3 linked regions of the Callithrix jacchus genome follow. The protein of the gene in region 1 purifies or fractionates together with the protein of each later gene. This does not show direct contact. Links are inferred from orthologs where the notes say so. Each region holds a gene or a part of one and is shown in the gene's direction. Other genes may lie near its edges.

Region 1 (3,653 bases):
TATTTAAAGATACTTTGCGTTAGGAAAACTATTATACCGCCTTTCTGATTCTCTTCAATTGAATCGGAAACTTAGTAATTCCAAGAGAAAAATATCTTACCCTGCTAAAAATATTTAGTGCAATAGAATTTACCATTTACCCAGTTTTTAAGATTAGTGCTGGTGGCCTAGTTGGAAGGTTTGAGTTTGAAAGCCATCTAAAATACATTTTAAGTTTGTATTTATTCTTCTGACATACAGTTTAAATTTCTGTCTAAAAGTAGACATATTTATATAAGATTAGAGTTCTAGACTTAAACTGAGGCTAATTAAGAAAGTTCATAGCCTCAGAACTTTATTTTTTTCTAATAAGGAGAATTTCATATTCATGTAATTCTAGTACCTGTCTTGTTGAAGGACTTATATTAATACCAGGTATTAATTAGACCATTTTAAAAGTGGATAGGCTGCATATCCTTCTGACAGTCATTTATAAAGATTTTTTCTTAAAACTTTTGATGAGACCTGGGCTACAATTTGATATTCTGTTTTCTGGGAAGATCACCATGGCAGATATCAATGTTACTAATCTAAGGACAGAATTACGTATCCATTCTCTGTACCCCCCGTTTCTAAAGCATACATCTGACTTTGACTTTTTTTCCCCCCCTTAAAAACAAAAACTCACCAGGCACGGTGGCTAACGCCTATAATCCCAGCACTTTGGGAGGCCGAGGTGGGTGGATCACCTGAGGTCAGAAGTTCAAGACCAGCCTGGCCATCATGGTGAAACCCCATCGCTACTAAAAATACAAATTAGCTGGGAATGGTGACTCATGCCTGTAATCCCAGCTATTCTGGAGGCTGAGGCAGGAGAATCGCTTGAACCCAGGAGGCGGAGGTTACAGTGAACCGAGATCACACCCCACTGCATTCCAGCCTGGATCACAAGAGCAAAACTCATCTCTAAATAGATAAATGTAAAAACTCTTGGCTGGGTGTGGCGGCTCACTCCTGTAATTCCAGCCCTTTGGGAAGCTAAGGCAAGTGGATCACCTGGGGTCAGGAGTTTGAGACCAGCCTGACCAACATGGCAAAACCCCATCTCTACTAAAAATACAAAATTGGCCGGATGTGGTCACACATGCCTATAATCCCAGCTACTCAGGAGGCTGAGGCAGGAGAGTCTCGCTTGAACCCAGGAGGCAGAGGTTGCAGTGTGCCGAGATCATGCCATTGCACTCCAGCCTGAGCAACAAGAGGGAAACTCCATCTTATAAAAACAAACAAAACACTCTTGATGGTTACTGTCTTGTTTACTATTTGATTTATATATACATTCCTTAAGCTCTAAATCCTTTTTCCCCCAACTTGCCATGGCATTGACTGCTAGTAGTAATGCACAGTCACCTCATCTCCCTTTTACTTTTGAGATCTCTCAAGGCCCACTCAGATGTCCCCCTCCATGAAACTTTTACCCTTTACTTTCAAGCTCCCTGTTTGTTCTGAAAGCACTGTGCTTACATAGTTCATATAACCCCTGTATATGATTCATTAGTGTATTTGTTCATGTCCCTCCTTGAAGTTGTGAGCCTCTCACAAAGCATTGTTTGTAGGTGGTGGTGGTTGTTAACCTCTTTATCCTCAAAGCCTAGTCTAATGCCTGTCATATAGTAGCAGATGCTCAGTGAATGTTTATTGAATGAGTGGGGCCTGTAGAAGGTGGGGTTCTGCAGGGAGCAGTTTGTCCCAAGGAAAATGGCTCTGTAAACACTGCCCTCAGGAATGCCCATGTGCTTCCCCAGTGGTTTGGAATGAACTCTGCACAACTCTTTAAGTTCAGCTATTCAGTAACAGACTAAAATGTCTGATGTGTGTCCCATGCTTAGCAGCGGAATAGAGTGATGACTAGGACCAGGCCTTTGTCCCAGATCAGGGCAGGCAAAATACAAACAAACCACATCCTGAGGCCTTCTCATACATGGCTGCACTGTATACCAGTGGTCTCAGAGGCAAATTTGTGTTTTCTTGGATCTGTGTGAGGCTTTTGAGCCTTGCCAAAACCTGGCAGAAGCATTAGAGTAAACCAGTGATTGCGGTGTATAGAATGAGGCTAGAGAAAGAGAACAAGGCAAATGCATTGCGTCATTTAGGGAAAGCAGTTGGGGTACTGACTGAGCTTTTAGCCTTGAGCAATTGTTAAACTTGTTTTTATTTTTTAACTTTTATGTAAGTTAAATACCTGCTTATTAAATACACAAACTGTAGAGAAAGTTAAAGTTCACATTCCTGTACACAGGTCATTGAAGAATAACAATTGCCTTGATTTTATGCTTTTCTGTAAGATTTTCTGAAGTGAGTAGAAGTGAGTAGAACTCAGCGAATGCCAGCTGATGCATAGGTGTTACTAGCTTAGGAAAGTGTTCTATTTATCAGAGTAATGGATATTTACCATACTTCTATGTAAATCTTGGAAACCTTATTTAATCTAAAGTGAAAATCTGTGTTGGGTCATGTTATTTTCAAGGGATGTGCCTTGCAGTTTTTTGTTTCATTCTTTTCTTTAACTGGAGCTATATGATCTCCTGTTTTGTACTGAAGTGTTTGGGGCTTTTTCTTCCCCCACCCAAACACAGAAACAAGGAGATGAAGCCACGGGTATTCTTATCTCATCAGCAGTGACTCATCTGTTTTGGCTCAGTCCTAAAAGGAATTTTGGTGCTTTATTTGGGGTTGATTTTTCCTTGGCTTAAGTTCTCTGCATAAGAGCTAGGAATTTAACTTGAATCTAGTGCAGACCTGTCTCCTCGCCCACCTGGAGTTTGTGTTTTGACCTCTCTTTCTGTACCACCACCACCTGGAGAATCGAGACCTTGGAACAAGTCAGTTATGTGGGTTCCTCCCCACCCCCACATGCAGATGGTATTACAGAGAGAATATTACATGCAGAGAATTTCCTGTCAGCCTGAAAAACTAACTGGGAATATCTTTTTTTGGTCCCTTATTGTCACCAAGCACAGAACACCTTAGGAGAAATCTTGGCTCCTTAGAGCTGCCAGTTTCAATTAGGATTAACTTGTCTGTTTCACTTCATAGCACAAGCCCTGTCTGTGGCCCTGAAGGAGGGTGCTTGTTTCAGACATTTCGGGGCAGGAATTTTCCTTAATCCTCTTTGAGAGTTATGTTGGTACGCAGCAGGTGTTTATTTTTACCTTGAATTGATTTTTTAAATTTTTGCGTTGGTCTTTAACTGTCATGTTTTTGTAGTGGCACCTATCACTCTCGAGATGAGAGTACTGACAGTGGACTAAGCATGAGCAGCTACAGTGTCCCTCGTACCCCAGATGACTTCCTGAACAGCGTTGATGAGATGGATACAGGTTGGTATTCTTTATTCCTCTTGGTAACCTGACTTATAGTCAGATATGTTATCACCAAGTCTAATAAGCTATTGTAAGCAAAGATTATTCAGAAGAAAACCAATTAAAATCCTGTAAATCTGAATTAAATTGAACCTGTTTTGTCTCTATATGGTGATTTGTAATTTGTCTTTTCCTAGTTTAAAAAAAAATTACATTGGCTGGGCATGGTGGCTCAAGCCTGTAATCCCAGCACTTTGGGAGGCCAGGGCAGGCAGATCACTTGAGGTCAGGAGTTTGAGACTAGCCTAGCCA
Region 2 (3,653 bases), on another chromosome or scaffold:
CCTTAGCTACTAAGTTTTACTGCCTGGGGTGTAGTCAAATTAAGACTTTTGGCATATGAGTTACTTTTGAGGTTAGCTTTGTGATTTTTGGTGCTAATTCGTCCAGTAAAGTCTATTTTATTTTCATCTTAATTAGGTTTTTGTATGAATATTCAAGAAGGCATCCTGATTACTCTGCCATGCTGCTGCTGAGACTTGCCAAGGCATATGAAGCCACTTTAGAGAAGTGCTGTGCCACTGCAGATCCTCATGGATGCTATGCCAAAGTGGTATGTTTATTGTTTGAAAAAAATGTAATTCTTTGACTGATGATTCCAATAATGAGAAAGAAAAATAATGCAAGAATGTAAAATGATGTACAGTGCAATTTAGATCTTTCCTTGAGATTATTTCAATTCTTCAATTCAATACTAAGGCTACTTTTCTAAGAAAAAGTAGCCTTAGAATGTTTAACAAAATGTAGAATAGTCTAGAAAAGAAAGATCTGAACAGAGCAATCTCTAAATAATTTTGATAATTTTTCTTTTATTCACAATCCTGAGAACAAAATAATTTAAATTTAAATGTTAATTAGAAGATATTTAACTTAGTTGTAAAGTCAGTTAACCTGATTCCAATATTTTTGCATTTTAATTGTTGGATCATGATAACATCCTTTTATCAAGTACTAGAATTAATTTCTTAAGGGAAATCGTAGAATATATACCTTTAGAATATTTTCAAATCTTTTTGAAAAAGTTTAGTAAATTAAGTTAGGAGCAGAAATCTGTTCTGGAAGATTTTTAGGGTCCCCACTATCATATGTAATGGTTTCAAAACTATTCAGAATAAAAGAAAACTCATTCTTTCCTCTATAAAGAAGCTACTGTATGCCAGGCACCATGCACAACCAATGACCAAGGTAAAATCTCTCATTTTGGAGAGCCCAGAATGTAACTGGAAAGAGGAACTAATAATAGTAATATGTATAATCATAGCCATTATTTATTAAACTTTTATTATAAGGAGGCAGTGTTTAATTTCATTAGCTTAATTCATTTACAGAGCAGCTCTGTGAGATGAGTACCATCTTTGCCCCTATTTTGGAGATAAGGATTCTGAAGTGTAGAGATGGTCGGTAAAATTGCACAGCTGAAGAATGAGTCAGGTAACTTGGCTCAAATACTGGTCATTGAACTCCAGAGCCTGAATATTCTTAGCCAGTTACAGGATGCAAGCTCTCCAAATAAACAGTTTGAATGTAATGTGACAGATGTGGCATTGATATTTATCTATTCATGTGGATTTCAGAAGCTAGGAGAAAATATATGGTTCTGACCAGAGGGGTGAAAAACAACCTGCATCTGATCCTCAGGTGTGGTACTATCAACACAATTCTTTTATGTTTCAGTTTGATGAATTCCAGCCTCTTGTGGAAGATCCTCAGAACTTAGTCAAACATAACTGTGAACTTTTTGAGCAGTTTGGAGAGTACAAATTCCAGAATGAGTAAGTAATTTTTATTGACTAATTCTTGATCAATTTGTACTTATTTAAGACTTAATATATGAGCCACCTAGCATAGAACTTTTAAGAATGAAAATACACTATATATTTCTAATCACTCTTTGTCACAAACGAAAGGAGAGGAGAGGTAAAATAGTTGATGGGTTGGAGAGGCTTATATTTCAATGTAGTCTAAAAATTGTTCTTAAGACTGGAAGTATGTCACCTGGGAGGGCAAATAACAAATCTTGGTATATCAGAACTGAGGATGTTCCTTGAAGATTAAGGAATAGTTAATGGACAAATAGAACATGGCAATATTTTGTAGAGCAGGAAGTAGTAGGCCTTGAATAGCAGTTGCTCAAAAAGTAATATATAAGCTGAAAAAAATATAGTAAAATGAATTAGATATTTGAATATTAAGTTCAAGTTCTTTGGGAGATGTGCCTAGTCTTTGCTGGTTAAACCTTATGTTTCTGTGGAATTTCTCTCCACAGAAGAGATAGAGACAGAATGGCTTGCTGGACTAATGTCCCAATTCAATAGAGCCTTACCTATGAAGGTAAAAACAAGAAGAGACATATTATACTGTAGATATTTATTGTGTGGCTCATACACATAGTGCTCTTCTGATTATGGGTTTTAGGGATAACAGTGAACAAGACATAGTTGCTTCCCTCAAGTAGATTACAGTCATATGTTGACTTTTAATGGTGATTGACATTCTTAATACATTATTATTATGTATTAGATACCATGTCAGATTAATTATGTTTTATTACTTTTAATTTAATCCTTTAACTACCCCTATTGAGTCAGATATATTTCCTCCCATTTCCTACTTGTATCTTTCAAATTTAGCATCTGAAGCTCTCTCCAGGTTTTATTGAAAAAAGAAAGAAAGAAATGTATGAATGTCACTGAATTAGGTAACTCACTTTCCCAAGATTATACAAGTGGTACAGCTGGAAGTCAAAGCCAGGTTTAACTAGTTGTTCAGAAGCAAGTTTTCCCCCCTACACTAACCTATTACTCTCAGATGGAGATAATATGACAAATGGAGCATAGGAACATTTTAGTTGATTCTGACCAAGTGTTCTCTGTTTTATTTTCTATGTTAGACAGTTTCTTGCCTGGCTGAAAACACATTGACTTCTTTTTTTTTTTCAGGCTATTAGTTCGTTACACCAAGAAAGTACCCCAAGTGTCAACTCCAACTCTTGTAGAGGTCTCAAGAAACCTAGGAAAAGTGGGCACCAAATGTTGTAAACAGCCTGAAGCAAAAAGAATGCCCTGTGTAGAAGACTATGTGAGTCTTTAAAAAACATAATAAATTAAAAACACAAAATTTTACCTTTAGATATTGATAATGCTGACTTTTAGGAGCATAAGGGAGTAATGTGTGTGTTCATGTTTTTGTGCGTGTGTGTGTGTGTGTGTGTGTGTGTGTGTGTGCATGTATGTGTGCTATTGGCAGCCAGGGCCCCAGAGATGATAAATTGTTTTTTAAAAATTTATGCATTTTCAGGGTTCAATCCTAATGTTCTCTAAATTTTTACTTTCTTTGGGGGATCTATTCTTTAATGTATCATTATAGGACTATTTCTTCTTCACTGTAACACATGTCTCAGCACATATTGCCTGAAATTATTTTCATCAATTGTTTTCTCAAGCAAATTATTCTTGAAATGTAGACATTTAATTAAAAGGAAGAGACTTTTGAAAGTCCTTATTTGTAGTTTAAACACAAGTCACTGCCTCAAATCAATTTTGGATTCAACATTGCTAGTTGAAACATAATACTTATTTTGGTGCACTGGAAAGTCAGAAGTTCATGGAAAATTTTCAGCTTTAACTCTTTTGAATTTTTGCTCTCCTGCCTGTTCTTTAGCTGTCCGTGGTCCTGAACCAGTTGTGTGTGCTGCATGAGAAAACACCAGTAAGTGACAGAGTCACCAAATGCTGCACGGAATCCCTGGTGAACAGGCGACCATGCTTTTCTGCTCTGGAAGTCGATGAAACATATCTTCCCAAAGCGTTTAATGCTGAAACATTCACCTTCCATGCAGATATGTGCACACTTTCTGAGAAGGAGCAACAAGTCAAGAAACAAACGTGAGAAGTATTTCATTACTGCACGTGTTTGTAGTCTTGATGGCAAGAACTGT
Region 3 (3,462 bases), on another chromosome or scaffold:
GTGTCTCAAATGAATGTGTCAAGCCTCTGCTCTTTCCCAGACACTGTCCTGGACTTAATAAGGGATACAAGGATGAAAAAGAGGCAGATCGTTTGCAGGAAACTTGCAAATAGTAGAAAGACACAGCCAAAAAGAAATCTTTTACAGGATGGAATCGCTGTAAAAAGAGCCATTAGAGAACCATAAACACAGCGTTAAGGGACAGCAAAGAAAAGGGTTGCTGGCTGGCTGGGAGGAGCTAGAAAGGCTTTGGTGAGAGACTGTGGTATTTGAGAAGAGCCTTGAAAGAGGGATGAAGTATAGGGAGGAGAAATGGGATAGGCAAGGGTACCGAAACGGGAAAGCAGTAGTCCAGGGATCTTAAAAAGTACGGTCTGGGACTTAGCAGGGCAAATCATGGGAGAAGCTGGGGAGCTAGATTGGGGCCCTCTTTAGAAGACCCTTTGTTCTGGGATGAAAGTAAAAAAAAATCTAATTTCATCACTCCTGCTTCAAGCCATACTCTGGTTCCATTGTCCAAGCCTAAACCCCTCGGTGGGCAGGTAGAGCCCTTTGTGGTGGTGCCCATCTCCCACCCCTCCTCTTCACATGGCAGACTCCTGGTACCCTTACTGGGCACTGCCCAGCCTGCTGCCATGCCTCCCACCGGCAAACCTTCTCCTGGCACTGCCTGGATTCCCAGCAAAAGCAGCATCTCTTCTAGCCTCTGTTCGCTTCCTGGCTACAGTGTTTACCTTATTTAACAGTGATGATCTGTGAACACATCTATTTCCTGAACAAGACTTTCAGCTGCTCAGAGCCAGGGACGATGTCTTGTTTTCAGCATCTCCAGCCCCTCACAAAGGGCCCAGGAGTTTCCTAAATGAAAAAGCAAGTGGGAGTTTGTGTTTGATTCAACTGAGCGTGAAGAATGGTTAAAAATTTGAAGGATGAGGGAGGATTTTCCTGGATTTATATTCTTTGGTATTGTCCACCTGGCAGTGGCAAATGTGGAGGAACTGAAGTGGAGGGATGGAGGCTTGTGGTGGCACTGGGAGGTGGGACCTGAGTTGTGCCCATCACCCTGTGGCTGCTGGAGGATTGGTTGTCAGCACAGTAGTGCCCTTCTGTTCTTGTATGACCCGAAGCTCCTAATCTGAGGTTTCTCATTAATAGCCCATGAACCCAATTCCAGCACCGCTGCCTCCTGACATACCAAGCTTCAACCTCATTGGTGACAGCCTGTCTTTCGACTTCAAGGATACTGACATGAAGCGGCTTTCCATGGAGATAGAGAAAGAAAAGTATGTAGCCCCTGTGCCCTGCTGTGGGCGGCCGTGAACTAGAGTGACGGGGCCCTTGGGAGGCCGGGGCAGAGGTGAGGGGTCGCTGCAGCAGCCTGCCATTAGCTCCTGCAAAGGTTTCCTCTGTTCTTACTCCCTGGAGAAAGAATTTCCTTAATCAGAAATTAAGGGACAACAGATCAACATTCATTCTTCCAGGATAAAAAAGACATTTGACTGGTGACCTGGCATTTATGGTGGCTCCAAACCTCATGTGAAGTGTAGGACTGGGTTGTTAGCATCTCCGGGTCGGTTCAGCTGCTGTTGTACTAGACTATGGTCGTCTCCTAGTTGCGTTCTCCAGTGACTGGGATCTGTGATGGTTCCCACGTCTAGAACAAACAAAGGTGAGAATAGACTCAGGCTCTAGGCTGAAGAAGGCCGACAGCCAGGTGGGGCCCACTTTGCTGCAGTGGGTGGCGCTTGCCAGGGCCCCAGCACGGCCTGATCATGGCAGCTTTTGCTGAGCTTCCCTCTCTGCAGCCTCTGTTTTCCCTTGATGGTAGTAGAATTGGGTCAGAGATGGAAAGGATCCCCTCTGCAGAGGCAGTCTAAGCAAGGGCCCCTAGTTCCCAGAACTCGCGGTAAACTGCCGCCGCCTGCCGGAGGACAACTACAGTAGCCGGCATGCATCGAGTCCCTGTGTGTCAGGGGTTTTGGCTTTTGTCCATTTAATTCCTACTAGTTAACAAACATCAAACTGACATCAAAGGTAGGTTTTCATGTCCCCATTTTCTAAGTGAGAACTCGGATTTAGAGAGTTTAATGAACTCCCCCAGCGTCACACAGCTGATGCAGAGGAGCCCTGGGGTTAAAACCCCTCACCCACCTGACTCTGCCTTCCATGTGCTTTCCCCATGGGTAGCATCCTCAGGAAAACCCTTTGGGGAAAGTGTCTCCATGGAGTCCAGCACGAGCAACCACAACCCAGGCTGTTTCTCTTTGGGCTCTCACACTTAGCCAGTGAACCAGAGCCTCTAGCCGTCATATCTGCTGTCCATGTTCCTTTCACTGTTATCCAGACATATATATTTATGTGGTTGGGACTGGGGATAGGGGTGAAGCTATTCTGTGTCTGCTATTTTATAGTTTGCATTTTGTTACTATCTTAATTTGTTTTGGCTACTGTAACAAAATACCAGAGGCTGGGTAGCTTACAGACAACAGAAATTTATTTCTTAGCCAGGCATGGTGGCTCATGCCTATAATACCAGCACTTTGGGAGGCCAAGGCGGGCAGATGTCTTGAGCCAGGAGTTCAAGATCAGCCTGGGCAACATGGCAAAACCCCATTTCTACTAAAAATACACAAATTAGGTGGGTGCAGTGTCACATGCCTGTGGTCCCAGCTACTCACAAGGTTGAGGTGGGAGGATTGCTTGAGCCTGGGAGGCAGAGGTTGCAGTGAGCTCAGATCTCACTACTGCACTCCAGCTGGGGCAACAGAGAGACACCCTGTCTCAAAAGAAAAAAAAAAAAGAAAGAAATTGATTTCTTACAGTTCAGGAAGCTGGGAAGGCCAAGATCAAGGCATGGGCAGAGGTAGAATCTGCCTGGTTCATAGTCGGCGCCTTGTCACTATGTGCTCATGCAGTGGAAGGGATGAGGGATCTCTCTGGAGCCTCTTTTATAAGGGTGCTAATTCCATTTGTGAGGCTCTACCCTCATGACCTCCCAGAGGTCCCACCTCCTAACACCTTCACATTGGCGATTAGGTTTCAACATAGGAGTTTTGAGGAGACACAAACATTCGGCCCATGGCACTTCTTACCCTTGCACATGTAACTATGGCAATCCCTACAGAGTGTTCCTTGATATTTGTGTTGCATGTTTTTCCTGGCCATGCCCTTGTAGTTGGACACTTTGTGGGTGGTTTCTAGATTTTCACCATCATAGATGCTGTCACTCAGTGTATCTGTTCTCAGGTGAGGGTGGGGATCTTTTTTTCCTTGCATTCCGTGAGCTTCTGAGTAAGCTTCTGTCATCTTCAGATGAAGTCTCAGAACATGTGGGAGTATGGATGTGGCCTATCAAAAGAAATCATGTGAGGCTGGGCGCTGTGGCTTATGCCTATAATCCCAGCACTTCCAGGCCAGGAGTTCAAGACCAGCCTTGGCAGCATAGCAAGATCCTATCCAAAA

What was found.
Region 2: the proteins of YAP1 (region 1) and ALB purify together in Homo sapiens (affinity purification with mass spectrometry, with the first as the bait; 3 studies listed by BioGRID). This does not show direct contact. The link is inferred for Callithrix jacchus from reciprocal best matches to the Homo sapiens genes YAP1 and ALB.
Region 3: the proteins of YAP1 (region 1) and NF2 purify together in Homo sapiens (affinity purification with mass spectrometry; 7 studies listed by BioGRID and IntAct, with this or other methods). This does not show direct contact. The link is inferred for Callithrix jacchus from reciprocal best matches to the Homo sapiens genes YAP1 and NF2.

What each region holds. Positions count from the first base shown.
Region 1 is NC_133511.1:37,427,823-37,431,475, reverse strand, and holds part of YAP1 (transcriptional coactivator YAP1), read left to right. Parts: intron 1-3,246; coding exon 3,247-3,359; intron 3,360-3,653. UniProt on the Homo sapiens protein: Transcriptional regulator with dual roles as a coactivator and corepressor. Critical downstream regulatory target in the Hippo signaling pathway, crucial for organ size control and tumor suppression by restricting proliferation and promoting apoptosis.
Region 2 is NC_133504.1:124,645,353-124,649,005, reverse strand, and holds part of ALB (albumin), read left to right. Parts: intron 1-136; coding exon 137-269; intron 270-1,390; coding exon 1,391-1,488; intron 1,489-2,655; coding exon 2,656-2,794; intron 2,795-3,376; coding exon 3,377-3,600; intron 3,601-3,653. UniProt on the Homo sapiens protein: Binds water, Ca(2+), Na(+), K(+), fatty acids, hormones, bilirubin and drugs. Its main function is the regulation of the colloidal osmotic pressure of blood. Major zinc transporter in plasma, typically binds about 80% of all plasma zinc.
Region 3 is NC_133502.1:200,273,558-200,277,019, forward strand, and holds part of NF2 (merlin), read left to right. Parts: intron 1-1,155; coding exon 1,156-1,283; intron 1,284-3,462. UniProt on the Homo sapiens protein: Probable regulator of the Hippo/SWH (Sav/Wts/Hpo) signaling pathway, a signaling pathway that plays a pivotal role in tumor suppression by restricting proliferation and promoting apoptosis.